7 linked regions of the Callithrix jacchus genome follow. The protein of the gene in region 5 purifies or fractionates together with the protein of the main gene of each other region. This does not show direct contact. Links are inferred from orthologs where the notes say so. Each region holds a gene or a part of one and is shown on either strand. Other genes may lie near its edges.

The links.
Region 1: the proteins of CDC27 (region 5) and CCNB1 purify together in Homo sapiens (affinity purification with western blotting; 6 studies listed by BioGRID, with this or other methods). This does not show direct contact. The link is inferred for Callithrix jacchus from reciprocal best matches to the Homo sapiens genes CDC27 and CCNB1.
Region 2: the proteins of CDC27 (region 5) and TTK purify together in Homo sapiens (affinity purification with western blotting; 3 studies listed by BioGRID). This does not show direct contact. The link is inferred for Callithrix jacchus from reciprocal best matches to the Homo sapiens genes CDC27 and TTK.
Region 3: the proteins of CDC27 (region 5) and ANAPC7 purify together in Homo sapiens (affinity purification with western blotting; 23 studies listed by BioGRID and IntAct, with this or other methods). This does not show direct contact. The link is inferred for Callithrix jacchus from reciprocal best matches to the Homo sapiens genes CDC27 and ANAPC7.
Region 4: the proteins of CDC27 (region 5) and CDH1 purify together in Homo sapiens (affinity purification with western blotting; 4 studies listed by BioGRID and IntAct, with this or other methods). This does not show direct contact. The link is inferred for Callithrix jacchus from reciprocal best matches to the Homo sapiens genes CDC27 and CDH1.
Region 6: the proteins of CDC27 (region 5) and NEK2 purify together in Homo sapiens (affinity purification with mass spectrometry; 6 studies listed by BioGRID and IntAct, with this or other methods). This does not show direct contact. The link is inferred for Callithrix jacchus from reciprocal best matches to the Homo sapiens genes CDC27 and NEK2.
Region 7: the proteins of CDC27 (region 5) and anaphase-promoting complex subunit 11 purify together in Homo sapiens (affinity purification with mass spectrometry; 8 studies listed by BioGRID, with this or other methods). This does not show direct contact. The link is inferred for Callithrix jacchus from reciprocal best matches to the Homo sapiens genes CDC27 and ANAPC11.

What each region holds. Positions count from the first base shown.
Region 1 is NC_133503.1:140,376,152-140,380,088, forward strand, and holds the start of CCNB1 (G2/mitotic-specific cyclin-B1), read right to left. Parts: upstream 2,801-3,937; 5' UTR 2,793-2,800; coding exon of another isoform or gene 2,669-2,792; coding exon 2,648-2,668; intron 2,046-2,647; coding exon 1,875-2,045; intron 1,779-1,874; coding exon 1,620-1,778; intron 1-1,619. Other genes in the region: uncharacterized protein LOC118151518, read left to right, coding at 2,667-2,792, 3,009-3,125. UniProt on the Homo sapiens protein: Essential for the control of the cell cycle at the G2/M (mitosis) transition.
Region 2 is NC_133505.1:85,475,991-85,479,490, reverse strand, and holds part of TTK (dual specificity protein kinase TTK), read right to left. Parts: intron 870-3,500; coding exon 693-869; intron 377-692; coding exon 292-376; intron 1-291.
Region 3 is NC_133510.1:113,289,502-113,293,001, reverse strand, and holds part of ANAPC7 (anaphase-promoting complex subunit 7), read left to right. Parts: intron 1-662; coding exon 663-859; intron 860-3,500. UniProt on the Homo sapiens protein: Component of the anaphase promoting complex/cyclosome (APC/C), a cell cycle-regulated E3 ubiquitin ligase that controls progression through mitosis and the G1 phase of the cell cycle.
Region 4 is NC_133521.1:26,357,249-26,360,748, forward strand, and holds part of CDH1 (cadherin-1), read left to right. Parts: intron 1-329; coding exon 330-554; intron 555-2,051; coding exon 2,052-2,279; intron 2,280-3,500.
Region 5 is NC_133506.1:86,999,626-87,003,125, forward strand, and holds part of CDC27 (cell division cycle protein 27 homolog), read right to left. Parts: intron 2,574-3,500; coding exon 2,499-2,573; intron 916-2,498; coding exon 759-915; intron 1-758. UniProt on the Homo sapiens protein: Component of the anaphase promoting complex/cyclosome (APC/C), a cell cycle-regulated E3 ubiquitin ligase that controls progression through mitosis and the G1 phase of the cell cycle.
Region 6 is NC_133520.1:16,824,881-16,828,957, forward strand, and holds the start of NEK2 (serine/threonine-protein kinase Nek2), read right to left. Parts: upstream 2,801-4,077; 5' UTR 2,659-2,800; coding exon 2,563-2,658; intron 1,701-2,562; coding exon 1,483-1,700; intron 888-1,482; coding exon 647-887; intron 1-646. UniProt on the Homo sapiens protein: Protein kinase which is involved in the control of centrosome separation and bipolar spindle formation in mitotic cells and chromatin condensation in meiotic cells.
Region 7 is NC_133506.1:137,489,908-137,493,920, reverse strand, and holds the start of anaphase-promoting complex subunit 11, read right to left. Parts: upstream 2,801-4,013; 5' UTR 2,670-2,800; exon of another isoform or gene 2,660-2,669; intron 1,725-2,659; 5' UTR 1,714-1,724; coding exon 1,605-1,713; intron 1-1,604. Other genes in the region: ALYREF (THO complex subunit 4), read left to right, coding at 2,943-3,200, 3,687-3,818. UniProt on the Homo sapiens protein: Together with the cullin protein ANAPC2, constitutes the catalytic component of the anaphase promoting complex/cyclosome (APC/C), a cell cycle-regulated E3 ubiquitin ligase that controls progression through mitosis and the G1 phase of the cell cycle.

The sequences.
Region 1 (3,937 bases), on a different chromosome or scaffold from region 5:
AAGAAAGCCTCATGTAGTTTGATATGCCCAGTTAGACTGTGCTGGCTACATGTTTCATGTACTATGACCAGAAATTCAACACTAAAGCAATATCTTTCAATCTTTTATCCTTAGATATAAGAAGCTAAACTGGCCAGGCTCAAGCTAAATGGTGGCTCACGCCTGTAATCCCAGCACTTTGGGAGGCCAAGGTGGGTGGATCACTTGAGGTCAGGAGTTCAAGACTAGCCTGGCCAACATGGTGAAACCCCATCTCTACTAAAAATACAAAAACTGGCTGGGCACGGTGGCTCACGCACTTTGGGAGGCCGAGGCAGGTGGATCACGAGGTCAAGAGATCAAGACTACCCTGGTCAACATGGTAAAACCCTGTCTCTACTAAAAATACAAAAAATTAGCTGGGCATGGTGCCGTGTGCCTGTAATCCCAGCTACTTGGGAGGCTGAGGCAGGAAAATTGCTTGAACTTGGGAGAAAGAGGTTGCAATGAGCCGAGATTGTGCCACTGCACTCCAGCCTGGGCAACAGAGTGAGACTGCCGTCTCAAAAAAATTTTTTTCCAAGCCAGGCGTGGTGGCTCATGCCTGTAATCCCAGCACTTTGGGAGGCTGAGGTGGGCGGATCACCTGAGCTCAGGAGTTCGAGACCAGCCTGACCAATATGGTAAAACCCTATCTTAAAAAAAAATTTTTTTTCAGGTAATTTTCTTAACTGGTTTTAACTAAGTTTAAAACAAACAGAGCTTCAAAATGCAGTTCATTGCAATTTCAAAGCATCCTCCTCTACATGACCTACCTTTCCTTCACAGGATAGGACACCTTTACACATTTGATATTTAATATAAAGTTATTGGTCTTGAGCCTAAATCTTTTTTTCTTTTCTAAAACATCCTGTTATAACATTTTTTTTTCTTTGAGGCTAAATGTTAATTCATCTTCTTAACCACTCCCTGAAGAGTTGCATTCTTCCTGTTTTATTCATTTACATATTCCAATGTTACGGGCTTATTATTTAGTAGCCATATTAGGCAGTTAAAAAAAAAAATTCAGGCCGGGCACTGTGGCTCACGCCTGTAATCCCAGCAGTTTGGGAGGTTGAGGCGGGCGGATCACCTGAAGCCAGGAGTTCAAGACCAGCCTGACCAACATGGTGAAATCCTGTCTCAAAAAAAAAAAAAAAAAAATTCAAGAGAATATTCTATGTTTATGAGGATAAATTCTGCGAGATAGCTTGTTCTTGGACAATAAAACCTTTGGTTCAGGCAGCTACTACTTAATATCATTAACAAAGAAAGTAATATAAGAAAGTCGTAACAAAAGCATAGATTCTGAAGTCAGACAGCCTGAGCTTGAATCCCATATGAGCCACTTACCTGTGTGATCCTGACATAACCTTTCTAAAGCCATGACCTAAATAGTAGAGGTGATAATATCTACCTCAGAGAGTACATGTAAAGATTACGTGAGTTACTGCATGTAAAATGTTAGGCAGAGCTTGCCTCATGCTAGGCACTCAATAAATGATATTAATATTACTATTTATTTGAATGTTCTTGCATGTGTCAGTGAAATAAGGGACAGAAGAAATAACAAGACTCTACAATGTTAAGAATAAGTTTACCAAAATAGGCTCAGGCGAAAGTTTTTCTTCTTTAACAGGCTCAGGTTCTGGCTCTGGCACTGGCTGGGACACCGGCACTGGCCCCAGCATAGGTACCTTTTCCAGAGGTTTTGGTAGTTTTTTAGCAATAACTTTTCCAGTAGCTGAAGGTTTTCCCTCCTGTGTAGATGAAACAGAGAGAATGGAATATTTCTGCATCAAGGACCACAGCTGGAAGGCGGGCTCTTACATTAGTTAGGTCAGGAAGAGGGCTACCTTTTTCATAGGCATTTTGGTCTGTAGCTGTTCACTGACTTTGTTACCAATGTCCCCAAGAGCTGTTCTTGGCCTCAGTCCGGGCTTGGAGGTTGCAGCAGGGGCCATAGGCACGCGCTTTGCGCCTGCCATACTGATCTTCGTCGTATTTTCAGCATTTATTTTCGAGTTCTGAAAGAAGCAAGACTACTTTAAGAGCTGGTCCACGGAAGCTCGAGTAAGTCAAGGGTTAATTAAGGTGGGGCACAAGAGAGGTTCCCAGAAGGAAAGCCGACTAAATATGGGTTCCAAGGGAAAACGTGGGTCCCAGAGTGTACTCTGCGGCCGTGACAAGTCAATTTCCACCGAGAACCTCTACATTTACCGATAGAGGGATTTCCTAATTAGTCCTCGCCAGCCCTAAAATACTGAGAATTTACATTTGAAAGGAAACCGAAAAAGCCTCCAGTTGCTGATTCCATCTCTCTGGAAAGTGGGTTACGCAGTTGCTGGCGGGCCCACTCAGGAACCCTCCATAACTTTTTCAAAAGGTTCCTAGACTCTCCACCTCCCCCAAACATTTATCCAATGTCCGTCCAGGTCTCTTTCTCACCTTCCTCCCTCCGTCCATCGTCCCCCACACCCCCCACCAGGCCTGGGCCCACCTCGGTTCTCTTGGTGACTCCCCTCCCACCTTCCTCCCCAAATCTCTCCTGAAGCCCTCTCCCGCTCGGGGGGCTCCAGCAGGCAGCTGCGAGGAAGGCCGCGTTAGTTCGCAGTCCGCAACGGCTCACCCTGGTGACTCGGAGCGCCATGGCTTCCTCTTCACCAGGCAGCAGCTCAGCGGAAAGAAGCAGAACACCGGAGTCCCGACCAGCCGAGGACCTGAACCCACCAGAAACCAACAACCGTTCCTCCGCAGCAGGCCGGGAAGAGCCGGCCTAACCTAAAGTTTAAACCCCGCACTGCTCCCTCCTTATTGGCCTGTTCGTGGCACTCGCTAACTTCCCATTGGCGGCTGCCGCTCCCGGAGAATGCGTTTCCAGGGCGATCCCGAGATTGCATTCGAGAGGGGCGGGGTCAGAGTGACGCTAAGGCCGGAAGGCGTGGCCAGGTTCTCACGTTGTCTGCCTCCGCGCCTGCGCTCTCGGGCAGCTGCCGCGGTCACCTGGAGAGCCTAGCAACGCGTGCGCCGCCTACCTGGAAAGCGGGGGCGCGGGGGGGGGTGCGCTGCCCGTGCCAGATCTGGGAAAGCCTGGTGGCCTTTGGAAGGTGACAGTGGCGCGCGGCCACAGTCTCAGAAGTGTCCAAAGTAGTTTTGGATCTAGTCCAAATTATTGTTACACACTTTCCATTTCTACGGTAGCAGCAATAATATAGTTCATGAAAGGCTTTGATATACGTTCTTTCATTTGATAGTTGCAACAACTCTATGGAGTGGAGGAACTGAAGCTCAGCGGCTTAGATGACTTTGCCAGGATCACACATTAGCAAGCGAAGAACTGAATTTAGGGGTTTTTTGAGGGGAGGGAGGATGGGTATTCGTATTATTTTTGCAACACTGGTTGTCCCTTAAGAATGTCACCTTCCAATCATGAGGTCAGGAGATTGAGACCATCCTGGCTAACACAGTGAAACCTTGTCTTTACTAAAAATGCAAATATTAGCCGGGCATGGTGGCAGTTTCCCATAGTCTCAGCTACTCGGGAGGCTGAGACAGGAGAATAGCTTGAACCCAGGAGGTGGGGGTTGCAGTGAGCTGAGATCGCGCCACTGCACTCCAAGCTGGGCGACAGAGTGAGACTCTGTCTCAAATAAAAAAAATAATAATAATTTAAAAAGTCACCTCCCAGCTTCTACTTACTTGATTACTTCAAGACTGGCCAGTTTCCCAAGGCCAATTGTTTTGTTTGTTTTAGCTTTCTATTTGGAAATAATATCATACTTAGACCAGTTGCCAACAAAAATCTTGTAAGGAACATTTCTATATCCTTTACACAGATTCACCCATCCTTAACCTGTATTTGCCTCTCATGAGAAGATCAGGAAAAACAAAATAAAATACATTTAATCCCATTTGCTTT
Region 2 (3,500 bases), on a different chromosome or scaffold from region 5:
ACACTAGTACCAATAAGAAAAATAATATAAGTCCATTATAAATACACATTTTGATTCACAGCATAAGTGACACACTGATTATACACCTTATCTAAAATAAGTAAAAATGAATACCAGAAGTAAAGAAAAAAGTTTGTTTACTTTTTATAATAATGGAACTTCCTTAAGGAAAGAGAAAGAGGTAGGCTGACCAAGAGCAGCCAATTCAGATTCTGTTTCTGTTATATAAATAGGTAACAGACTGTTTATATTAGTAATGTAGTAATAAACAAAGTTTTAAAGAAGTAGTACCTGGATGAGTTTGAATTTGAACGTATGCATGAGCCAGGAGCTCAGGAATGGATATCCTCTGTTTAGGGTCCCTTATTAAACAACACTATATAAACAAAAAAAATTTTAAAAGAAAAACAAAGCAGATTTTTACATATGATATTGATGAAATATTTTTCCAGATTATATTATAAAAGTTGCTTTTTAGATATCCCATTCAAATAATGACAAGATTATTTCTCCCAAGGCACTTCTGCAAAATCTCTAAGTATTTACAAACTTTAAAACATCTTCAAAGTAAAAAACTAATTCAGTTAGCAATTCTTTTGAATAGAATAGTTATATCTAAGCGAGTTACATAACACCAATCATTTCAGCTATTTCTTTTAAGTAAATAATTAGTTATATGAAATTAATATTACCTTTAACACATCTTGAAGATCTATCTCTGGAATATCAGGAAATTCAATTTCATGATTTGGATCAATTATGGCATGCAATTTAGAAATCTGATTAATTATATGCTGAAATGGTGTCTTGCCATAAGTCATATAGTACAAAATACATCCTAAGGACCAAACATCACTTTTGGGACTTATCTATGGAAAAAACAAACACAAAAAAGTTGCTGTTATTTTAATATAAAATGTAAAACACATATATGAAACATATATATGTATATATATACATTTAAAATCATAATTAAATCTCCATGAATGCCTGAGTACATTATGTTAATATGACAAAACATCTTTTACTAGTTTTCATTTCAGTTGGTTTTTCCATTAACAGAGCTTCTCTTTAAATCCTTCTATAACCTCATAATTAAAATATTTCAATTTTAAGACAAAATATTAAATTCTTTCCAACCTGGGAAAATATAAAACTAAAAAATATAACTATAGTTTTAAGGTTACTTGTTTTCCCCAGAATTATTGGAAGTTCAAAGTATGTATACAGTTTTAATGGCTGTTTAAATTACGCAACCCTTCAGACCTTTGGAAATAATAAATAAATAATACAAAGATTGGAGAAAGATTTACCAACCAAATGGAGAGCAAAAATAAATAAATAAATAAATAAAAAGCAGGAGTTGCAATTCTCGCCTCTGATAAAATAGATTTTAAAGCAACAAAGATATAATGGTAAAAGAATCAATGCAACAAAAAGAGCTAACGATCCTAAATATATACGCTCCCAATAGAGGAACACCCAGATACATAAGACCTATGAATAGACTTAGACTCCCACACAATAATTGTGGGAGACTTCAACATCAATATTAGATAGATCAATGAGACAGAAAAAAAATTTTTTTTTTTTTTTGAGACGGAGTTTCGCTTTTGTTACCCAGGCTGGAGTGCAATGGCGCGATCTCGGCTCACCGCAACTTCCGCCTCCTGGGTTCAGGCAATTCTCCTGCCTCAGCCTCCTGAATGGCTGGGATTACAGGCACGCGCCACCGTACCCAGCTAATTTTTTGTATTTTTAGTAAAGACGGGGTTTAACCATCTTGACCAGGATGGTCTCGATCTCTTGACTTCGTGATCCACCCGCCTCGGCCTCCCAAAGTGCTGGGATTACAGGCTTGAGCCACCGCTCCCGGCCGAGACCTGGAACAAGTAAACTTAATAAATATTACCAGTACCACATCACACCTACTCACAGGTGTAAATGAAATATCGGTTGGCCATTATTAAGCACAATTATTGGCATAAAAGAGGTTTTCAATACCCATTTTTAGAATAAAGCAACACTCCCGTTCTCTTTCCCTCTTTCTCTTCCTCTTTCTTCCTTTCCTTCATTCCTTTTTTTTTCTTTCTTTCAAAAAAAAAGAGAAAACAGGACCTAATTTGGAATTGGAGGCTGTGAATTTAAGTTCTGATTCAGCTACTTCTTAGTTGTAATATTTTTAGACATCAGCAAATTTTCTGGACTTTATCTGGAAATTGAAGACATTAAGAACATCTGCTTTCCTACCTCAGTGAGGAACTGAACTACTATGGATGTCATTGGAAGCTGTGAATTCTCTGTTGTTAGAGTTATGAGTCCTGGCTTTGAATGGGAACACTGTGGTCTTTGTTTATGGTTTATTAATGTTGGGTCTCTTAGAACCATGGCTCTGCCTACACTGGCAGGCCAAATAGTAACAGTAATGGCAACAAACAACCCCTTGTAGAAGAAAATGTCTATAAGAAGGGCTGGGTGCGGTGGCTCAAGCCTGTAATCCCAGCACTTTGGGAGGCCGAGGCGGGTGGATCACGAAGTCAAGAGATCGAGACCATCCTGGTCAACATGGTGAAACCCCGTCTCTACTAAAAATACAAAAAATCAGCTGGGCATGGTGGCGCATGCCTGTAAACCCAGCTACTCAGGAGGCTGAGGCAGGAGAATTGCCTGAACCCAGGAGGAGGAGGTTGCGGTGAGCCGAGATCGCGTCATTGCACTCCAGCCTGGGTAACGAGAGTGAAACTCCGTCTCAAAAAAAAAAAAAAAAAAAAGAAAATGTCTATAAGAATAAAATCAGAATAGCTCAACATTTGTTGAGAAGCTTCTCTGTGCTAGAACTAGGCTGTGTGCTCAGAATCGCCTCACTTAGTTCTTAACAACAACAAAAAATAAAAATACAACTTTAAATCCAAATGCATATACTATAGAACTATGCTGAGCTTGTATTCTGGTTTTGTCACTAACTGGTGGTACTATGTGTATATTTCCTCACTTCTGATACAGAAATAATAAAAGTACATTGTCATGGGCATCAAATGGTAAACCATAAATATGGTTAATCATAGGGGAAAGTTTCTGGTTATTATAAGTACTCAAGTTGTAAAGCAAATGAAAATAGAATTGATAAATGAAGTCAAGAACTGCATATCGTATTTAAGATGAACAAACTCATGGAAAGTCTAATAAAAAACATAACAAATCTAAGTTTTAGAAGAGGAGTGGAGGCTAAACAAATACAAAAATAATTTTATGAAAATATTTAGCAAAATTTTATGCCAGTTATTTCAAAAACATTTAAAAGCTAGATTTTCTAAAATGGAAAATGTAATTTAGTAAATAAAAACTCATTTATCAAGTAATGATTCTAAACTTAATAAATGTGCTAAGTACCTTATATATTCTTTCCCATTTTTATCCTCCATTTATTTTACAATAGGCACTGTCTATAAACCTAATTTAGAGACAGGCAAACTAGGCAAGTACTTGGCCATAGACAGTTG
Region 3 (3,500 bases), on a different chromosome or scaffold from region 5:
TGTATTGTGCTTAGTACTGGGCCATCAGTGATAGGACCAGAAGATGCTCCTTTGTTACTAACCTGGCTTTACAAATTCTCCAAATGCCTCTCTGCTAATAACTAGTATCCAGATTGTAGGTTCTTTTCCATAATTTTTCCTTTCCATATTAAGATTTCCCTCTAAAAAGAAATATTTAGTGGATTTTTTGGTTTTGCTTTTCCATTAATAGCTTAGGTTAAAACTAAGTGTGGGACTGGGCTCAGTGACTTACGCCTGTAATCCCAGCACTTTGGGATGTTGAGGCAGGCATATCACAAGGTAAGGAGTTCCAGAACCGCCTGGCCAACATGGTGAAACCCTGTCTCCACTAAAGATACAAAAAAATTAGCCAGGCTTGGTAGCAGGCGCCTGTAGTCCCAGCTACTCGGGAGGCTGAGGCAGGAGAATTGCTTGAACCTGGGAGGTGGAGTTTGCAGTGAACTGACATCATGCCATTGCACTCCAGCCTGGGTGACAGGGCGAGACTCTGTCTCAAAAAAAGCAAACAAGCAAAAACCATGGTAAGTTTGGGTTTGGAATAAGGATTATGTACAGGACCTTCAGTATGATTTTTGGATGAAGTTTCTTTGTAGTCCTTTTGGATAACTTCTGGGTTTTGTTTTTGTTTTTGTTTTCTCCAGTTGTCACAGCTTCTATAGCAAACGCTACTCTCGGGCCCTCTATTTAGGAGCCAAGGCCATTCAGCTGAACAGTAATAGTGTTCAAGCTTTGCTACTTAAGGGAGCAGCACTTAGGAACATGGGCAGAGTCCAAGAAGCAATAATCCATTTTCGGGAGGCCATACGGCTCGCACCTTGTCGCTTAGATTGTTATGAAGGTAAGATAGAAAATAAAGGTGAATGGTGTACATCTGTGGGTGTGGCATCGGCCCTAAGGTGGAAGGTTTCATTAGGCCAGCACTTTCCAAACTCTGTTAGAAGCATCTGGCAAAGCTTTTCAAAATCCTGTTATTGGGTATCTCCAGTGTAGATGGAAATATACGGGGTTGGGAATAGACATCAATATTTCTGAAGATACCCAGGTATTAGCAATATGCAGACAAGTTGGGGAACCACTACACTGGGCATTTTACATATATTTAGGGCTTTCACTGGATTTGTTACCTCATACTTTCAGAATCAATTTTTTCTCATTTTTTTTTCTTCTGGTTTTGGTGAGAGGATAGTTGGGATGGGGTGGTTGTTTTTGTCCTCCCACCCCTGCCCCGACCCATTGTGGCATACTCATTAATATGAATCTCTCTGTGTGAGGCACCATGCTAGATCACTTAGTTTACCTATTTTTATTATTTTTATTTTTATCTGAGGTAGAGTCTTACTCTGTTGCCCAGGCTGGAGTGCAGTGGTGCAGTCTCAGCTCACTTCAACCTCTGCCTCCTGGGTTTAAACGATTCTTCTGCCTCAGCCTCCCACGTAGCTGGGATTACATGCGTGTGCCACCATGCCCAGCTAATTTTTGCATATTTAGTAAAGACGGGGTTTTGCCATGTTGGCCAGGCTGGTCTCGAACTCCTGGCCTCAAGTGATCTGCCTACCTCAGCCTCCTAAAGTGCTGGGATTACAGGCATGAGCCATTGTGCATGCCCTGTTATACCTGTTCTTTTTTGTGGCCATCTTACCTTAGGCCAGAGATAGTACTCATAGGATAACTCCACGTCCATATGATACTGTTGGCTTTGGGAATGGGTCTGTTCATTGTGACCTCCAGAGTGGGCACAATTGGGGTCCAACTGTTTTGTTATGTCATAGTTTAAGTTCATGTGAACTGACCCCTAGGAGTTCAAAGGAGCTATGCCAGCTTCAGCAACGTTTGGTGACTCAGTCACAGACATTAAAATAGATCTTACAAGATGCAGTTCCTCCAAAACATATTTTTGTAAGCATTTAAAAATAAACCCAGGAGTCTAGGAGTGATTTGCTCTTAACAGGAAGATGAGTTCAAATTTGAGAAATAAAATTTGGAAGTTGGGAGGGAGAACAAATCTGCTTAAATAGCCAGAGAGTATGCCTCTGGTGGATTTGTTGTGGGGAAAGAGGATTGTCTTTGTTCTTAAAGAAGCTCCAGCAAACCAAGTTCTGGTTTCAGATTAACTTCTTGATCCTGAAAGTGTAACTTCTCTTTCTTTCCAGCTGTTGTTATGCTAATTCCATTGTACTTCACGCTTATTTCACTGGAGCTCAGGGATGCAGTTGAATAGCCCCTCCTATAATATCTGGACACCAGATGTTTCCCAGTTGGCCAGTGAGGCTTTTCAAGCTGCCATTTGGAGATTTGGCTCAGGGCAACCCTTGTTACACCCTTTAATGTTTCTTAGAGTTCCCATTTGGAGCTTCCTTTGCTGGTAGAGGTTTAGGTTAGGCAAGTGCATGCTCTTTTCTTCTGAAGTTCCAGTGGAGCTTTAGCAGGGAAGTAAAACTATTCAATAAGTAATTGCATACAACTGTATTTGGAATCCAACATGGTGCCCTTAAGAGTTAGGTAATTGGCTGAGCACGGTGGCTCACGCCTGTAATCCCAGCACATTGGAAGGCTGAGATAGCCAGATCACCTGAGGTCAGGAGTTTGAGACCAGCCTGGCCAACATGGTGAAACCCCATCTCTACTAAAAGTAGAAAAAAAAAAATTAGCCAGGCATGGTACACATGCCTGTAGTCCCAGCTACTCAAGAGGCTGAGGCAGGAGAATCACTTGAACCCAGGAGATGTAGGTTGCAGTGAGCCAAGATGTCACCACTGCACTCCAGCCTGGGTGACAGAGCAAGACTTCGTTTCCAAAAAAAAAAAGAGTTAGGTAATTTCTGGTTAAGTAACCATAGTGTGTGGAAGGGTGTGCATGAATGTTATAAATGCTGCTAGGGTGGAGGAGTATGCAGAGAAAATCTGCCAAGGATTGTGTGGGTTTGGGGTTTAAGCTGTTTTTCTGTTTTGATGAGCACTTTGTGCCAAAAAGTTATTCCTCTGTTCTCCTCAACTTCTTGGCATGAAGAGTTGAGAGTTGACTGTTCTCAAGGTGGTCCCATAGGGCGTCTTGCTGTGGGTGTGGAAAGAGGCAAGGGCTGCCAGTGACAGTCTTTTTGTTGGATCTGATAAAATACTGTCATCTAGTTTAGGGAAGCCCTCAGCAAGTGCCTTTTGAGACAGCTGTTATGTTTCAAATGAAAGAGTCTTACTAGATTGCTTGACAATAAGTCCTATAGTTTGTTGAACTGGACTTTCAGTTTAAGACTTTAGGAGCCAGGTCAGGTGCGGTGGCTCATGCCTGTAATCCTAGCACTTTGGGAAGCTGAGGTGGGTGAATCACCTGAGGTCAGCAGTTGCAGACCCGCCTGATGAACATGGAGAAACCCTGTTTCTACTAAAAGTAAAAAAAAATTAGCCAGGTGTGGTGGTGCATGCCTGTAATCCCAGCCACTAGGGAGGCTAAGGCAGGAGAATCACTTGAACCTGGGAGGCGGAGGT
Region 4 (3,500 bases), on a different chromosome or scaffold from region 5:
CAGGCAGTAATGATTTCTTGGAGCTGTTAAAATTCAATGAATGAATAATGGCATGTGAAGAAGGAGGAGGGTGTCCCTGGTATGAGGAATAACTTGAATAATGGTTATCAAGGTGGGAATAAGCTTGTCTATGTAAAACGGTCAGAGGCCTGCCCACCTGGGAATGGAGGTGCCCTGGGATTGGTAGGATGGGAGGTTCTGGGGATGGAGTGGGGCCTGGTGAGGGACGACTGAAGAGCTAGGACAAGATCTGGATTGGGTCTGGTAGAAGGCAGTGGGGATCCATGACTGTTTCTGAGCTGTAACATTTCCTCTGTATTTTCTCTTAGGTTCTCCAGTTGCTACTGGAACAGGGACGCTTCTGCTGATCCTGTCTGATGTGAATGACAATGCCCCCATACCAGAACCCCGAAATTTGTACTTCTGCGAGAGGAATCCAGAGCCTCAAGTCATCAACATCATTGATGCAGACCTTCCTCCCAATACATCTCCCTTCACGGCAGAACTAACACATGGGGCGAGTGCCAACTGGACCATTGAGTACAATGACCCAAGCGAGTACCTGAGCTTTATTTTGGCAACTGTGCTGTGACTGCCATGCTTTCCTTCCCCCAGATCCCCACCTCTCAGTTTCTCTTCTCAACTTCCAAATGCCACCCCTTCTGTTGATACTTGTTTCCTTGTTCATTCTGTCTTTGAGGCCTTACTCCAAAGGTCTCTTTCCTTTCTTGGTATCTAGCTTTGTAGCATGCTACCCAGTAATATAAAACCCAAGCAGGGCTCCCTCTCCCAGCCTCTAACCACCCTCCAATCTCCTCTCCACTTGCAATCTCCGGGACTGTCTTCTCTGCCACCTCCCGCTCCTGGGACGAAACAAGGCCATTTTTGTGGTTAGCTCCTTCTTGCCGATGAACCATGAACTCCCAGATTGTCAGAACTATTCCACCGAGGTGGAGGCAGCTGTCGACTGCCTGGTCAATTTGCATCTGTGGGCCTCCTACATCAACCTCTCTCTGGGCTTCTATTTCCACTGTGATGATGTGGCTCTGGAAGGCGTGGGCCACTTATTCCACAAATTGGCCAAGGAGAAACGCAAGGGTGCTGAGTATGTCTTGAAATAAACGCAAAACCAGTGTGGTGGCCATGCTGTCCTCTAGAACATCCAGAAGCCATGTCAAGATGAATGGGGTAGGCTGGGCACAGTGGTTCACATGTGTAATCCCAGCACTTTGGGAGGCCTAGGTGGGTGGATCATGAGGTTGGGAGTTCGAGAACAGCCTGGCCAAGATGGTGAAACCCCTCTCTACTAAAAATACAAAAATTAGCTGGGAGTGGTGGTGTATGCTTGTAATCCCAGTTACTCAGGAGGCTGATGCAGAAGAATCACTTGAACCTGGGAGGCGGAGGTTGCAGTGTGCAGAGATCATGCCATTACACTCCAGCCTGGGTTACAAAGTGAGACTCTGCCTCCAAAAAAAAAAAAAGATGAATGGGGTAAAACCCTGGACACAATGGAAGTCGCTCTGGCCCTAAAGAAGAACCTGAACCGAGCCTTTTGGATCTTCATGCCCTGGGTTTCATCCACACAGACCTCCATCTCTGTGACTTCCTGGAGAGCCACTTCCTTGATGAAGAAGTGAAACTCATCAGGAAGATAGGTGACCCCCTGACCAACCTCTGCAGTCTGGCCATTCCCCAGCCCAGGCTGGGAGAGTACCTCTTTGAAAGGTTCACCCTAAGGCACAACCAGGAGCCTACTGAGCCCAGCAAATCTGAAGAGCCACTCTCTGCCTGAGTCTCTCCCTCCAGCCACTAGTCAGCTTTTTAACCTGCCCTAGAGCCCTCTACCAAGCCTTAGACCAAATGGAAATAAAGCTTTTTACAGCCAAAAAAAAAAGAGTAGATACCTAACTAAAACCCAAGCAGCTCTGCTCTCTTTGCTCGGCTTGCAAATGTCTTTAGGTCACTAACAATTTTATTGTGGAACGAGCTTTTTTCCCTCTCTCTCTCTCCCTCCTGGTCTCATCATTTCTTTTTATTGCTTCCCCCAGCCCAAGAATCTCTCATTTTGAAGCCAAAGATATACTTAGAGGTGGGTGAGTACAAAATCAATCTCAAGCTCATGGATAACCAGAATAAAGACCAAGTGACCACCTTAGAGGTTCACGTATGTGACTGTGAAGGGACCGCCAACGTCTGTCGAAAGGCACAGTATGTCGAAGCAGGATTGCAAGTTCCTGCCATCCTGGGGATTCTTGGAGGAATTCTTGCTTTGCTAAGTAAGTCCAGCTGGCAAGTGGCTCAGCCTTTGACTTAAAAAAAATGGAGGAGGGGCCGGGCGCGGTGGCTCAAGCCTGTAATCCCAGCACTTTGGGAGGCCGAGGCGGGTGGATCACGAGGTCAAGAGATCGAGACCATCCTGGTCAACATGGTGAAACCCCGTCTCTACTAAAAATTACAAAAAATTAGCTGGGCATGGTGGCGCGTGCCTGTAATCCCAGCTACTCAGGAGGCTGAGGCAGGAGAATTGCCTGAACCCAGGGGGCGGAGGTTGCGGTGAGCCGAGATTGCGCCATTGCACTCCAGCCTGGGTAACAAGAGCGAAACTCCGTCTCAAAAAAAAAAAAAAAAAAAAAATGGAGGAGGTTTATTTCCTGCAAATGATATTTGTTCTTATATTAGTTAGGGTATGGTTTTTAGCCAATATAGGAAAGGGACTTCCAGGCTATGCTGGCCTACATTGAATAGAAGTTTGTCTCTTACCAAATGGTTTGGAGGTAAATGGTCTAAGATGGGAGGGAGGGCAACCCTGTGCCATGAAGTCAATAGGGGACCCAGGTTTCTTCTATCATGTTTATTTTCATCCTTCAAGTCAGTACATCCCAAGCTTGAGTGCATGCAAATCACATGGGCCTCTTAGTAAACTGGGAAATCTGATCCAGGAGGTCTGGTGTGGGGCCACAGATTCCACATTTCTAACCAGCTCCCAGGGGGTGCTGATGTTGCAGTTCCTTAGACCATAGGCAGAGTAGCAAGACCTTGGGGGCTGCCCCAGCATGGTCTAGGCTAGCCAGCTCACCACCACCACCACCTCTATATTCCATCCTAGAAGGGGGAAGGGGATGAGAGAGGAAGTGGAGGCCACACGACTGGAGGCAATGTCACCTCCGCTTATATACCATTGGCCCAAACAGAGCCACACCTAGCTGCAAGGGAGCCTGGAAGCTTCTACTTGCAATTGAAAATTGCCATGGAGTAGGGATGGGTGTAGGGTGAGCAATGAGTGAGTGTCAATGACTAAAAGGATAAAGGAGAAAAAGGATGCTGAGGAAAATTGGCAGATTCTGCCATAGTCCTTAAACCTGTTTCCCTTGGAGCCCACCTGCAGTGACCCCTCAGGGTGACACAGGTGCTGTTATGGTCAAGGCGAATTCTTTTGTCATTCACACACAGAAAATACTGAATCTATTAAAGGAATAAGTTAGTTATGAAAACAGATT
Region 5 (3,500 bases):
ATTGCAGCCTTCACCTCCTGGGTTCAAGTGATTCTCCTGCCTCAGCCTCCTAAGTAGCTGGGATTATAGGCTCCTGCCATCACGTCCAGCTAATTTATATATTTTTACTAGAGGCAGGGTTTCACCACATTGGCCAGCTGGTCTGGATCTCCTAACCTCAGGCGATCCACCCACCTTGGCCTCCCAAAGTGTTGGAATTACAGGTGTGAGCCACTGTGCCTGGCCCCATGGCTTAGAATTTTTTTTTTTTTTTTTAAGATGGGGTTTCACCATGATGGCCAGGCTGGTCTTGAACTCCTGACCTCAGGTGATCCACCCACCTCGGCCTCCCAAAGTATTAGGATTACAGGCGTGAGCCACTGCCCGGCCGGCTTATAATTTTAATTAAAGCCTTTCACCAAGTTTTCTGGAACAAAGGCATCTCATCAGAATTTATCTTATCAGAAATTTCTCTATCCTCTTCCTTAAAAAACTACATTCTTATGAAGCAGATAAAACAGTACTGGTTACATATTCAAACACAAATTGAGGGCCCAGGTAAAAATTAGCAATGAATTTGTCAAAGTCATACAGCAAACTGGATCCAGAACAGACTAATTACCTGACTCTATATGCATTTCGTTATTACATCACCCTGTTCAATTTCCCTAAATTTGGTATAATGAAAACACCATGGTTAGAAAAATAAGAGTATCCTACAAATCCTTATGCAAAAAGGTAACTTTCTAAATATTCAAAATCACATGTATGATACTTACTGATCTGCTCTTCTTGGGTTATTGGCTCCTCATCATCTGGAAGATAGCGCTTATCAATTGCCTCTTTAATCTGGTTATTGGCTCCTTTAGGATCTAAATCCATAGCCCAAGAGAAATTCATCAGGGCGAGGTGCGTTTGACCTAACTTCTTGTAAACCTAAAAATAAACAGCAGCACTACATTTTTCATTAAGTTGTGAGCTTCAACTATAAAGTTCTAAATATTTATTTATTTAATTTATTTTTTTTGAGATGGACTCTGTTGCCCAGGCTGGAATGCAGTAGGCACAATCTCGGCTCACTGAAACCTCCACCTTCCAGGTTCAAGTGATTCTCCTGCCTCAGCCTCTTGAGTAGCTGGGATTATAGGTGCCTGCCACCAAGCCCAGCTAATTTTTGCATTTTTAGTAGAGTCAGGGTTTTGTCATGTTGGCCAGGCTGGTCTCAAACCCTTGACCTCAGGTGATCCACCCACCTTGGCCTCCCAAACTGCTGGGATTACAACAGGTGTGAGCCACTGCGCCTGGCCCCTAAAATTCTAAATATTTATAATTTATATTAGGCTCCTGGTGTACGTGCTCTAAACTCATTCTAAGGGTAGAACACTTTCATCTTACAGATGAACTCATACTAGCTTTTGTTTTCCTTTTAATATAATCAGATGTTATTTTCAGAATTTCTTGCTTCTATCAGGTAATAAGTTTCCAGTAAATATCACTCTGACTGGAACAATGATAATGGGATTAAACGAATAATAAACTGCTTAATTAACTTTCATTTATGGTGATTTTAAATGGAGTTATATATATAAACTCTTAACAACTGTCTACAGGCACCTTAACTAATTGGCATCTGGGGGGGCCAGTCTGTAAAAAACTGACTAGTCTGGCCTTGGGAATCTCAGAAGCCATCTTTCCTAATCAATACAACACAGTGCCATTAATGTTCTTCTTATTTATTTATTTAGACAGAATCCTGTTCTCTCGCCCAGGCTGGAGTGCAGCAGTGCAATCTTGGCTCATGGCAATCTCTGCCTCCTGGTTCAAGTGATTCTCGTGTCTCAGCCTCCCGAGTAACTGGGATTATAGGTGAGTGCCACCATGTCCAACTAATTACATATATATATATATATTTTTTTTTTTCAGACAGAGTTTCGCTCTTGTTACCCAGGCTGGAGTGCAATGGCGTGATCTCAGCTCACCGCAACCTCTGCCTCCTGGGTTCAGGCAATTCTCCTGCCTCAACCTCCCGAGTAGCTGGGATTACAGGCACGCGCCACCATGCCCAGGTAATTTTTTGTATTTTTTAGTAGAGATGGGGTTTCACCATGTTGACCAGGATGGTCTTGATCTCTGGACCTTGTGATCCATCTGCCTCGGCCTCCCAAAGTGCTGGGATTACAGGCGTGAGCCACTGCACCCGGCCAATTTTTTATATTTTTAGTAGCAGTTGGATTTCACTATGTTGGTCAGGCTGGTCTTGAACTCCTGACCTCAGGCAATCCACCTACTTAGGCCTCCCAAAATGCTGGGATTATAGGCATGAGACACCATGCCCAGCTAGGATATAATTTTCTTAAGTGTTAAGAACTAAATCTGTTATTCCCAGAGCACTCAGTTTGGAGTTTTAGTTGAATTTGCTCAATAGATACTATACAGTAAGTATATTCATTCTTATAAAATATACAATGTCAATATTTGCTATGAAAGTCACAGTTTGGGACCATGGCCCCAGTCTTTACCTTTCCTATTAAGAAGTAAACGAGGGATTCTTTGGGAACAATTTGTTTCAATTCTTCAAGTTCTTGTAAAGCAGACTGAAAAAGGCAAAGAAAAACCTTAAAGTAGCAAAATGTTTGGAAGTTTTGACCAAGCAAGTATTTTTACTTATTCGATTTCCCAAATCATCTTCATAAAAGCTAACTAAATCTTTTTTTTTTTTTTTGAGATGGAGTTTCACTCTTGTTACCCAGGCTGGAGTGCAATGGCGTGATCTCGGCTCACCGCAATCTCCGCCTCCTGGATTCAGGCAATTCTCCTGCCTCAGCCTCCTGAGTAGCTGGGATTACAGGCACGTGCCATCATGCCCAGCTAATTTTTTGTATTTTTAGTAGAGACAGGGTTTCACCATGTTGACCAGGATGATCTCGATCTCTTGACCTCGTGATCCACCCGCCTCGGCCTCCCAAAGTGCTGGGATTACAGGTGTGAGCCACTGTGCCCGGCCTAAGCTAACTAAATCTTAACCAATATACTTCCTTATTGCATCAGTTCTTATTGTTGTGAAAATAAATGCATACTTATATGACAATAGGTACTAAGAAATGGCAGGTACTCTAGTACACTAAATGCACACACACACACACACACACCCCTTTGTGAAATACACAGATGGTGACAATTCTTGCTTTTTGATTATCTATCTACCTATATATCTATCTATCTTTCTACCTACCTACCTATCTACCTGTCAGTCAGTCTATTTTTATTTATTGAGATAGAGTCTTGCTCTGTCATCCAGGCTGGAGTGCAATGGCATAATGTCCGCTCACTGCAACCTCCGCTTCCTAGGTTCAAGCAATTCTCCTGCCTCAGTCTCCTGAGTAACTGGGATTATAGGTTTATGCCACCATACCTGCTAATTTTTGAATTTTTAGTAGAGATGGGTTTTCGCCAAGTTGGCTTGTCTCCAACTCCTGACCTCAAGTGATCAGCCTGCATCAGCCTCCCAAAGTGCTGGAATT
Region 6 (4,077 bases), on a different chromosome or scaffold from region 5:
GTTTAATGCGTGGTAGTCATTCCATAAAGCTTGAACTGAATATGCTTTAATTTGCATGGATGCTCAAAAAAATTGAACGCAGTGAGAGACGACAAACAGTGTAAACCTTAGACTAGGAATTTGTCTTCATCATATTTACATTAATGCACATAACTCAAACAGCAAACAAAAACAGAGACTTCATTGGTCTGGCGGCCCATGTGGAAAAATATAACAGTATTATTAATTCTTGGCTTCTAGATATTACTGAACAAATAGAAAACTCAATTTCCCTGCTTCACAATGCTTAACATTAAAAGATGTTTTGGCCAGGTGCGGTGGCTCATGCCTGTAATCCCAGCACTTTGGGAGGCTGAGGTCAGGAGTTCGAGACCAGCCTGGCCAACATGGTAAAACCACATCTCCACTAAAAATACAAAAATTAGCTGGGCATAGTGGCATGCACCTGCAGTCCTAGCTACTCTACTCAGGAGGCTGAGGCAGGAGAATCGAATCGTTTCAATCTGGGAGACAGAGTTTGCAGTGAGCTGAGATCGCACCACTGCACTCCAGCCTGAGCAACAGAGCGAGACTCCATCTCCAAAAAATTAAAAGAAAAAATAAATAAAAAGATGTTTGAAAAGTATCTAAATTCTGATATACTTACAGGAGACATATAATAAGGTGTGCCAACAAATGTTTTTGCAAAACTCGTGTCATGATTTAATATTCTAGCTAGCCCAAAGTCTCCAAGCTTGACGTTCTGCTTGCCGTCCAGGAAAACATTGGCTGGTTTCAGATCCCGATGCAACACAGTATGACCACCATCACTTCGTCGGTGGCACTCCTTCAGGGCCAAAGTCAACTGAGTCATCACTCGTAGAACAAACTCTTCATCTAAGTATTGCCTGAAAGCAAAGCAATCATATAGCACATAACTTCTAAAAAAATCACTGCAAAAAGATTAGCTAGTGTACAAATAGAGAAATAAATTAGCTAGTGTACAAATAGAGAAATAAATTATTGATTGATTGATTGATTGATATTTTTCAAGATCTTTCTCTGTTACCCAGGCTGGAGTACAGTGGCACGTTCATGGCTCACTGCAGCCTCGACCTCCCAGGCTCAAGCAATCCTCTTGCCTCAGCCTCCCAAGTAGCTGGGACTACAGGCACGTGTCCCCATACCCGGCTAATTTTTGTAGAAACAGGGTCCCATTATGTTGCCCAGGCTGGTCTTGAAATCCTGGGTTCAAATAATCCTCCTGCGTCGGCCTGCCAAAGTGTTGGGATTACAGGTGTGAGCCGCCACACTCAGCCTATAAATTGTTATTTTGCTATAAAATATGGGTGTTGATTCTCTGGGAATTTTCTAAAGTCCTATGGACCTACCAAACAAATACAAGTCCACTCTTCCATATTACTGATCCTAAAACAAGATGTTTAAAACAAATGAAACTAGACCCACCCATTTTCAGCTACATTTTTAAAAGATTGCATTTACCTTTCCTTGGTTCCCTTTGTAATTACACTAGCCAGATCCCCTCCTTCGCAATATTCCATTACAATGTACAGTGTTGTGTTGGTCCGGTCAATAATCCGATCATAGTAACGAACAATGTTTGGATGTTTCAGTTCACGAAGCAAGTTCACTTCAGAAACAAGCATCTGTTTCTCAGCTTCTGTCATGGAGCCATAGTCAAGTTCTTTCCAAACTAATATCTGAAAAAAGAATTTCCAAGATATGAATGAACTCATTATGCCCAAAAACACAGAATGAAAGTTCCAAGATTTAAAAAATGACCTCCCTTTTAACTATATCCTACAATCAAAGTCATTATCTAATTTAGTTCAATAAACTTAAGGAGCTCTGAGTTTACTTCCATAATCTTCCTCTAATTTTTAAGCAGTAAATGATGCTGCGGGAAAATAAGGGAAGAATGAGGCACATGAGGCCTTCCCCAACCCCTATTCTCAGTTTGTTAGTGGGAAGTCGGCAAAAAGGTACTTGAGTCAAAATGGGGTTGGAGGTGGTCAAAGTCCCTGCCCCATTCCACCCAGGGCGAGAGAACTTCATAGGGATTCCTCCGTCAGCAGCCAGGCAGTTTGCTGTCCAGTGTTACTTTCCGTAAAAGGTCTACCTACATACAGTGGGAAATATGAATCCAATAATCGAATAATGGGTGCTTTGAGTGAATCTGACTGCAGATACAAAGCTTCGGGTTCTGGTGGTCCTGCCCCTTTCTTGTGTCTCAGAGGCCATTCTTAGAGCTCTAAAAACACCTCAGGTGTTAGCTACGTGTCACCAATGGAAGGCCCTTAGCAAGCCAAAGCAGGAGAAAGAGAGGAATTGGGAGACAAACGGGAAAAGATGGAAATATGTATAAATGTGTATCAAACGACGCAGTCTCCCATCCTTTAAGCGACCCAGGACAGGCTGTCAGATGCAGACCCAGGAAAGACAGCTGAGTCTTCCGGGAACCCACTTCCCCAGCCCTCTCGGTTCCCTTCGGCGGCGCAGGGTGGTCGCCCCGGGGCAATGAAACCTAAGCAGGGGCGGGCACAGGGAAGGGCCCACGCTCACTTTGCCGTCACTCTTTCTCCGGATCTTCTGGCAGCGGCCATAGGAGCCTGTGCCAATCGTGTACAGCACTTCATAGTCCTCAACCCGGGACGGCATGGCCGGGCCAGTCGCCAGAGTCGCGCTGCCTCACGCAGTTGCGTCCCCAAGTGCGGAGCTCCAGGGATCGGGAGCTCCAACGACCCGAACGGAGAAACCCCAGAGTAGCACTAACCCGCTGCCCCTTCCTTTGGCCCCGTTTAACCGTCGCGGGCCATGGCCTCGCAGGCTATTGGCAGGCGTTGAGCCCGCTTCGCCTCTCTGATTGGCTAAGAAGAACACAACAATATCCTAGGCATCTTGGGAAAAGTGTCGCTAGGCAACCGCGTCGGCGTCGGCTTTTAACCTCTGGGGAGAAAAGGGAGGAGCTAAACCAAAGGGAAGGCGGGAGAAAGGAAGTGGTAGCTGCAGCCTCTCGGCAACTCCAGCCCCCTGGTAGAGATCGCCAAGGTAAGCAAGATCTAAGGACCTCCCCTCAGACTCCTTTGCACACCGCTTCAACCAACTGTCTTCTGACCTTTGCACTCTGATTCCTCACACCACCTACTCTCCCCGGCACAACGCCCTTCTTGCTCCAGGTTCCAGCACCCTGAACCTGAGGTGGGATCACGTTGAGGAGATGCTGAGGGCTGAATACAAATCAGAAATAGTCTCCCCGCCGAGCGCGGTGGCTCACGAACGGTGGGAAGCCTAGGCGGGTGGATTGCTTGTGCCCAGGAGTTCCAGACCAGCCTGGCCATCATGGCAAACCTCGGCTATACTAAAAATACGAAAATTAGGCCAGGCGCTGTGGCTCACGCCTGTAATCCTAGCACTTTGGGAGGCTGAGGTGGGCAGATTGCTTGACGCCAGGAGTTCAAGACCACCCTGGCCAACATGGCGAAACCCCGTCTCTACTAAAAATGCCCCCCACCAAAAAAAGAAAAACCAACATGGTGGTGCATGCCTGTAATTCCGGCTACTTGGGAGGCTGAGGCATGAGAATTGCTTGAATCCTGGAGGCGGAGGTTGCAGTGAGCCGAGATTGTGCTACTGCGCTCCAGCCTGGGCCACAGAGCAAGGACCCATTCTCCAAAAAAAAAAAAAAGAAATGCAGTCGGTCTCCGACCAAGCACTTTACACGTCTTGTCCCGTTTATGTGTGCCAAACACATCATTAACCCTGTTGACAATGCTTCGTAGAACACAGACTCTCTTTTAGGCACCCAAACAAACCAAGGTTCTCAGCTTACCTAGCCAAATGAACAGCCCCATGTTTACCAGGGAGGGAGCACCTAGAGGCCTCCATCCAGGGCTTATTGGGGGAATATGTACATTACCAGAAAGCTAGTCATTTGGCAGTGCGTAAACTGCCAGTTTTCTTTAAATATCTGTTCAGCATAGGATTGAAAGAAACCTGATTTTCTATTAATAAGAATTAAAAAGCTCTTTATGTTAAAAAAATAAGGGACTTATTACGTGCACCGAATATAACGTAAGA
Region 7 (4,013 bases), about 50 Mb from region 5:
ACTAAAAACACAAAAATTAGCCAGGTATGGTTAGCACATGCCTGTAATTCCAGCTACTCAGAAGGCTGAGGAAGGAGAATTGCTTGAACCCAGGAGGCAGAGGTTGCAGTGAACCAAGATCACCCCACTGTACTCCAGCTGGGCGACAGAGCGAGACGTTGTCTCAAAAAAAAATAAAATAAAAGCCGAGTCCTGGCTCAAACCACTCAACCATAAAAAAGACATTTGGGGACAGCTGGTGAAACAAGAAGCAGGAATGACTGTGAAACTGCCAGATGTACAACAGTGGTGGGTAAAAAGACACATGGCTGAAGTGTGTGGGAAGATGCATCAGATATAAAATTTTAAATCATTAGTCATGGCCGGGCGCAGTGGCTCACACCTGTAATCCCAGCACTTTGGGTGGCCGAGGTGGGTAGAACACGAGGTCAAGAGGTCGAGACCATCCTGGTCAACATGGTAAAACCCCATCTCTACTAAAAATACAAAAAATTAGCTGGGCACGGTGGTGCGTGCCTGTAAATTCCAGCTACTCAGGAGGCTGAGGTAGGAGAATTGCCTGAACCCAGGAGGCGGAGGTTGCGGTGAGCCGAGATCGTGCCATTGCACTGCAGCCTGGGTAACAAGAGCAAAACTCCATCTCAAAAAAAAAAAAAAAAAAATCACTAGGCACAAAAAATAAAGCTAATATGGAAACATGATTTGCCGTTTTTCAATGTGCTGGAAAGGGAATGCCCTTATTCCATTCAACTTTTTTTTTTTTGAGATTGAGTCTTGCTCTGTTGCCCAGGCTGGAGTGCAGTGGTGCAATCTTGGCACACAGCAACCTCCGCCTCCCAGGTTCAAGTGATTCTTCTGCCTCAGCCTGGAGTAGCTTGGATTACAGGCCACCCACCAACATGCCCGGCTAATATTTATGTATTTTCAATAGAGACAAGTTTTTGCTATGGTGACCAGGCTGGTATCAAACTCCTGGCCTGAAGCAATCCACCCACTGGCCTCCTAAAGCACTGGGATTACAGGTGTGAGCCATAAGGCCCAGCCTATGCCATTCAATTTTGAGACCTTTCAAGTAAAAAGTTTAATCTCTTTTTAATGCCATGTATTTCACAGCTGAGTTTCATCTTATCAAATGCAGTGAAAGGATCTTTATACTGACCTGGGTTCCAACCACCTGGCTTTTTTTCTATCAACTTTTCTTCAAGAAATGAAAATGAAAATGTGGGGCCGGGCGCATTGGCTCACGCCTGTAATCCCAGCACTTTGGCAGGCCAAAGCGGGCAGATCACCTGAAGCTGGAAGTTTGAGACCAGCCTGACCAACATGGAGAAACACCATCTCTACTAAAAATACAAAATTAGAAGGGTTTGGTGGTGCATGCTGGTAATCCCAGCTACTTGGGAGGCTGAGGCAGGAGAATCCCTTGAACCTGGGCGGTAGAGGCTACAGCAAGCCAAGATTGCACCATTGTACTTCAGCCTGGGAAACAAGAGCAAAACTCCATCTCAAAAAAAAAAAAGGAAAATGTGGGGATTTCCTGCAAGTATATTTAACAGGAGCCACTGAGGCTAGTCCAGCAGGCAGACAGCGGAAGGGACACTCACAGTCGGGGCAGCAGCCATTAAACGCCATCCTGCAGATGCCACAGTTCTCATCGTTGGCCACCCAGAGCCAAGTGGCCACGCCATTCCAGCACTTAATCTTCACCTTCATGGCAGCAGAGCCTGTACCCGAAGGGAAGAGGATGACAGGCTTAATTTAGTCTGCAGAACTAGAAGATTTAGGCACCAAAATAGGAATAAGCCTGGCACAGTGTAGTCTCAGCTACTCAAGGGGCCAAGGCAGGAGATCACTCCAGCCCAGGAATTCGAACCCAGCCTAGGAACATCGTAAGCCGTTTCTATTTTACTTTTCTTTTGTTTTTGAGACGGAGTCTTGCTCTGTCGTGTAGGCTAGAGTACAAGGGCGCACTCTTGGCTCACTGCAATCTCCGCCTCCCGGGTTCAAGCCGGCCTCCCAAAGTGCTGGGATTACAGACATGAGTCATCGCGCCCGGCCCGACTAATTTTTTTTTTTTAAGAGACAGTGTCTCACTATGTTGCCCGGCTGGCCTCACTGAGCTCAAGCAATCCTTCCACCTCGGCCTCCCAAGCAGCTGGGATTACAAGTGTGCAATGGCACACCCGACTTTCGACTTTTTTTTTTTAGATATGGGGGTCTCACTACGTTGCCCCAGCTGGTCTCAAACTCCTAGGGTGAAGCGATCCTCTTGCCTCGGCCTCCCAAAAAGTTTGGAGCACAGGCGTGAGCCCCGCGCCGGGCCCGTACCAAAACTTGTAAAGGATATGACTAGCAAATGTGAGATTGGAGACTTCGAGGTTGCAGGTGGAGACCAAAAACCCCGGCTCAAAAACCAAAAAGCAACCCGCAGCAGGTCTGCACCGGCTGCAGCCCGCTGAGGCCACTCCCGCAGGATCCCGCCCCGAGCCAAGCGCACAGCCCTCGGGCGGGCGCAGAAACAAGGACCCCCGCAGGTTCCCGGACACCCGCCGCGCCCGCAGCGCCCCCAGCCCTAGCAGAAGGGCGGGGCAGGCGGGGAGGGAGGGGAGCGCATGCCCCACTCCCAACGACCGCCGCCCAACCCCCTGCGGCCTCGCACCTTCGCCAACCTAATCACGCACGGCTCTGCCCGCCCTTCCGTTGGCAGCGCTGACGTCCGCGCGGGAAGGTATAAAAACGACCACAGTCACGGCCCGGCTCCCTCAGCAGCGCCCGCCGAGTCCCGCGCGGCAGTGCGCACGCGCTTCCCCGTCTCTCCCCGTCCCGCGCGCGCTGCGGTCCGCAGGCGGCCAATCACTAGCCGCTCCGAGGCCGTAGCACCGGAAGGCCTCACGCGGCGCCGGAGGTGACGTGCTGGCGTGCTGACGCGCGGGCTCGAGCCGATGCCCGATTCCGCGCCCGCCATGGCCGACAAAATGGACATGTCTCTGGACGACATCATTAAACTGAACCGGAGCCAGCGAGGAGGCCGCGGCGGGGGCCGGGGCCGCGGCCGGGTCGGCTCCCAAGGCGGCCGCGGCGGCGGGGCGCAGGCCGCCGCGCGAGTGAATCGAGGCGGCGGGCCTATCCGGACCCGGCCGGCCATCGCCCGCGGCGCGGCCGGCGGAGGCGGGAGGAACCGACCGGCGCCCTACAGCAGGGTGAGTGTGGAGGCCGGCCGCACCGGAGAGGGCAAGCCGGGGAGGCTGGCGGCGAAGGCCGAGCCCGGCTGGCTGATAGGGCTGGTGGAGCGGCCGCCCGGAGGTCCGGAGGGTGCGTGTGGGAGGGCGCATAGGGGGTGGTGGGCGGGGGCGAGGTCGTTCATTCCGGGCCCGGCCCGGAGGCTGAGACCCTTTTCAACCCTTTGTTCCGGCCGCCGGGACCTCGTGGCGGCGTGAGCGGAGGGGTAGCTGAGCGCGGCAACAGCGGCGGGAAGTTAGTGGAAGGGAACTGAAGTTGTGCTGCCGCGGTGGGACCGTGCGGCCTCGTACCTGGGGCTGCTTTAGCGGCCGGAGGGAGCGCTGGCGGCCTCATCTCCGCCGGATCCTCTCAGGCCGGGAAGAGGAAGGGTCCGGGGTCGCCGCGAGGACTGGGAAAGCCCTGGACTGAGACTCACAGGTCTGCTGTTGTTGTGGTTTTTCCTTCAGCCAAAACAGCTTCCTGACAAGTGGCAGCACGATCTTTTCGACAGTGGCTTCGGGGGTGGTGCCGGCGTGGAGACGGGTGGGAAACTGCTGGTGTCCAATCTGGATTTTGGAGTGTCAGATGCCGATATTCAGGTAAGAGACTAAGGCTTCTCGGTGACCCGTTCGCCCTGCACAGGACGGATCATATTTTGGGGGATGTGGCCCTGAGTCCCCTTCCCGCCTTGGCAAAGGGAGCCCTCCCAGCTCTGAAGGGCTGCAGGACAGACCTAGCGCCAGTAAAGCCAGGGTCAGTCCGCAGGCAGGTGCGAGCCTAGCCTAGCCTGAGGA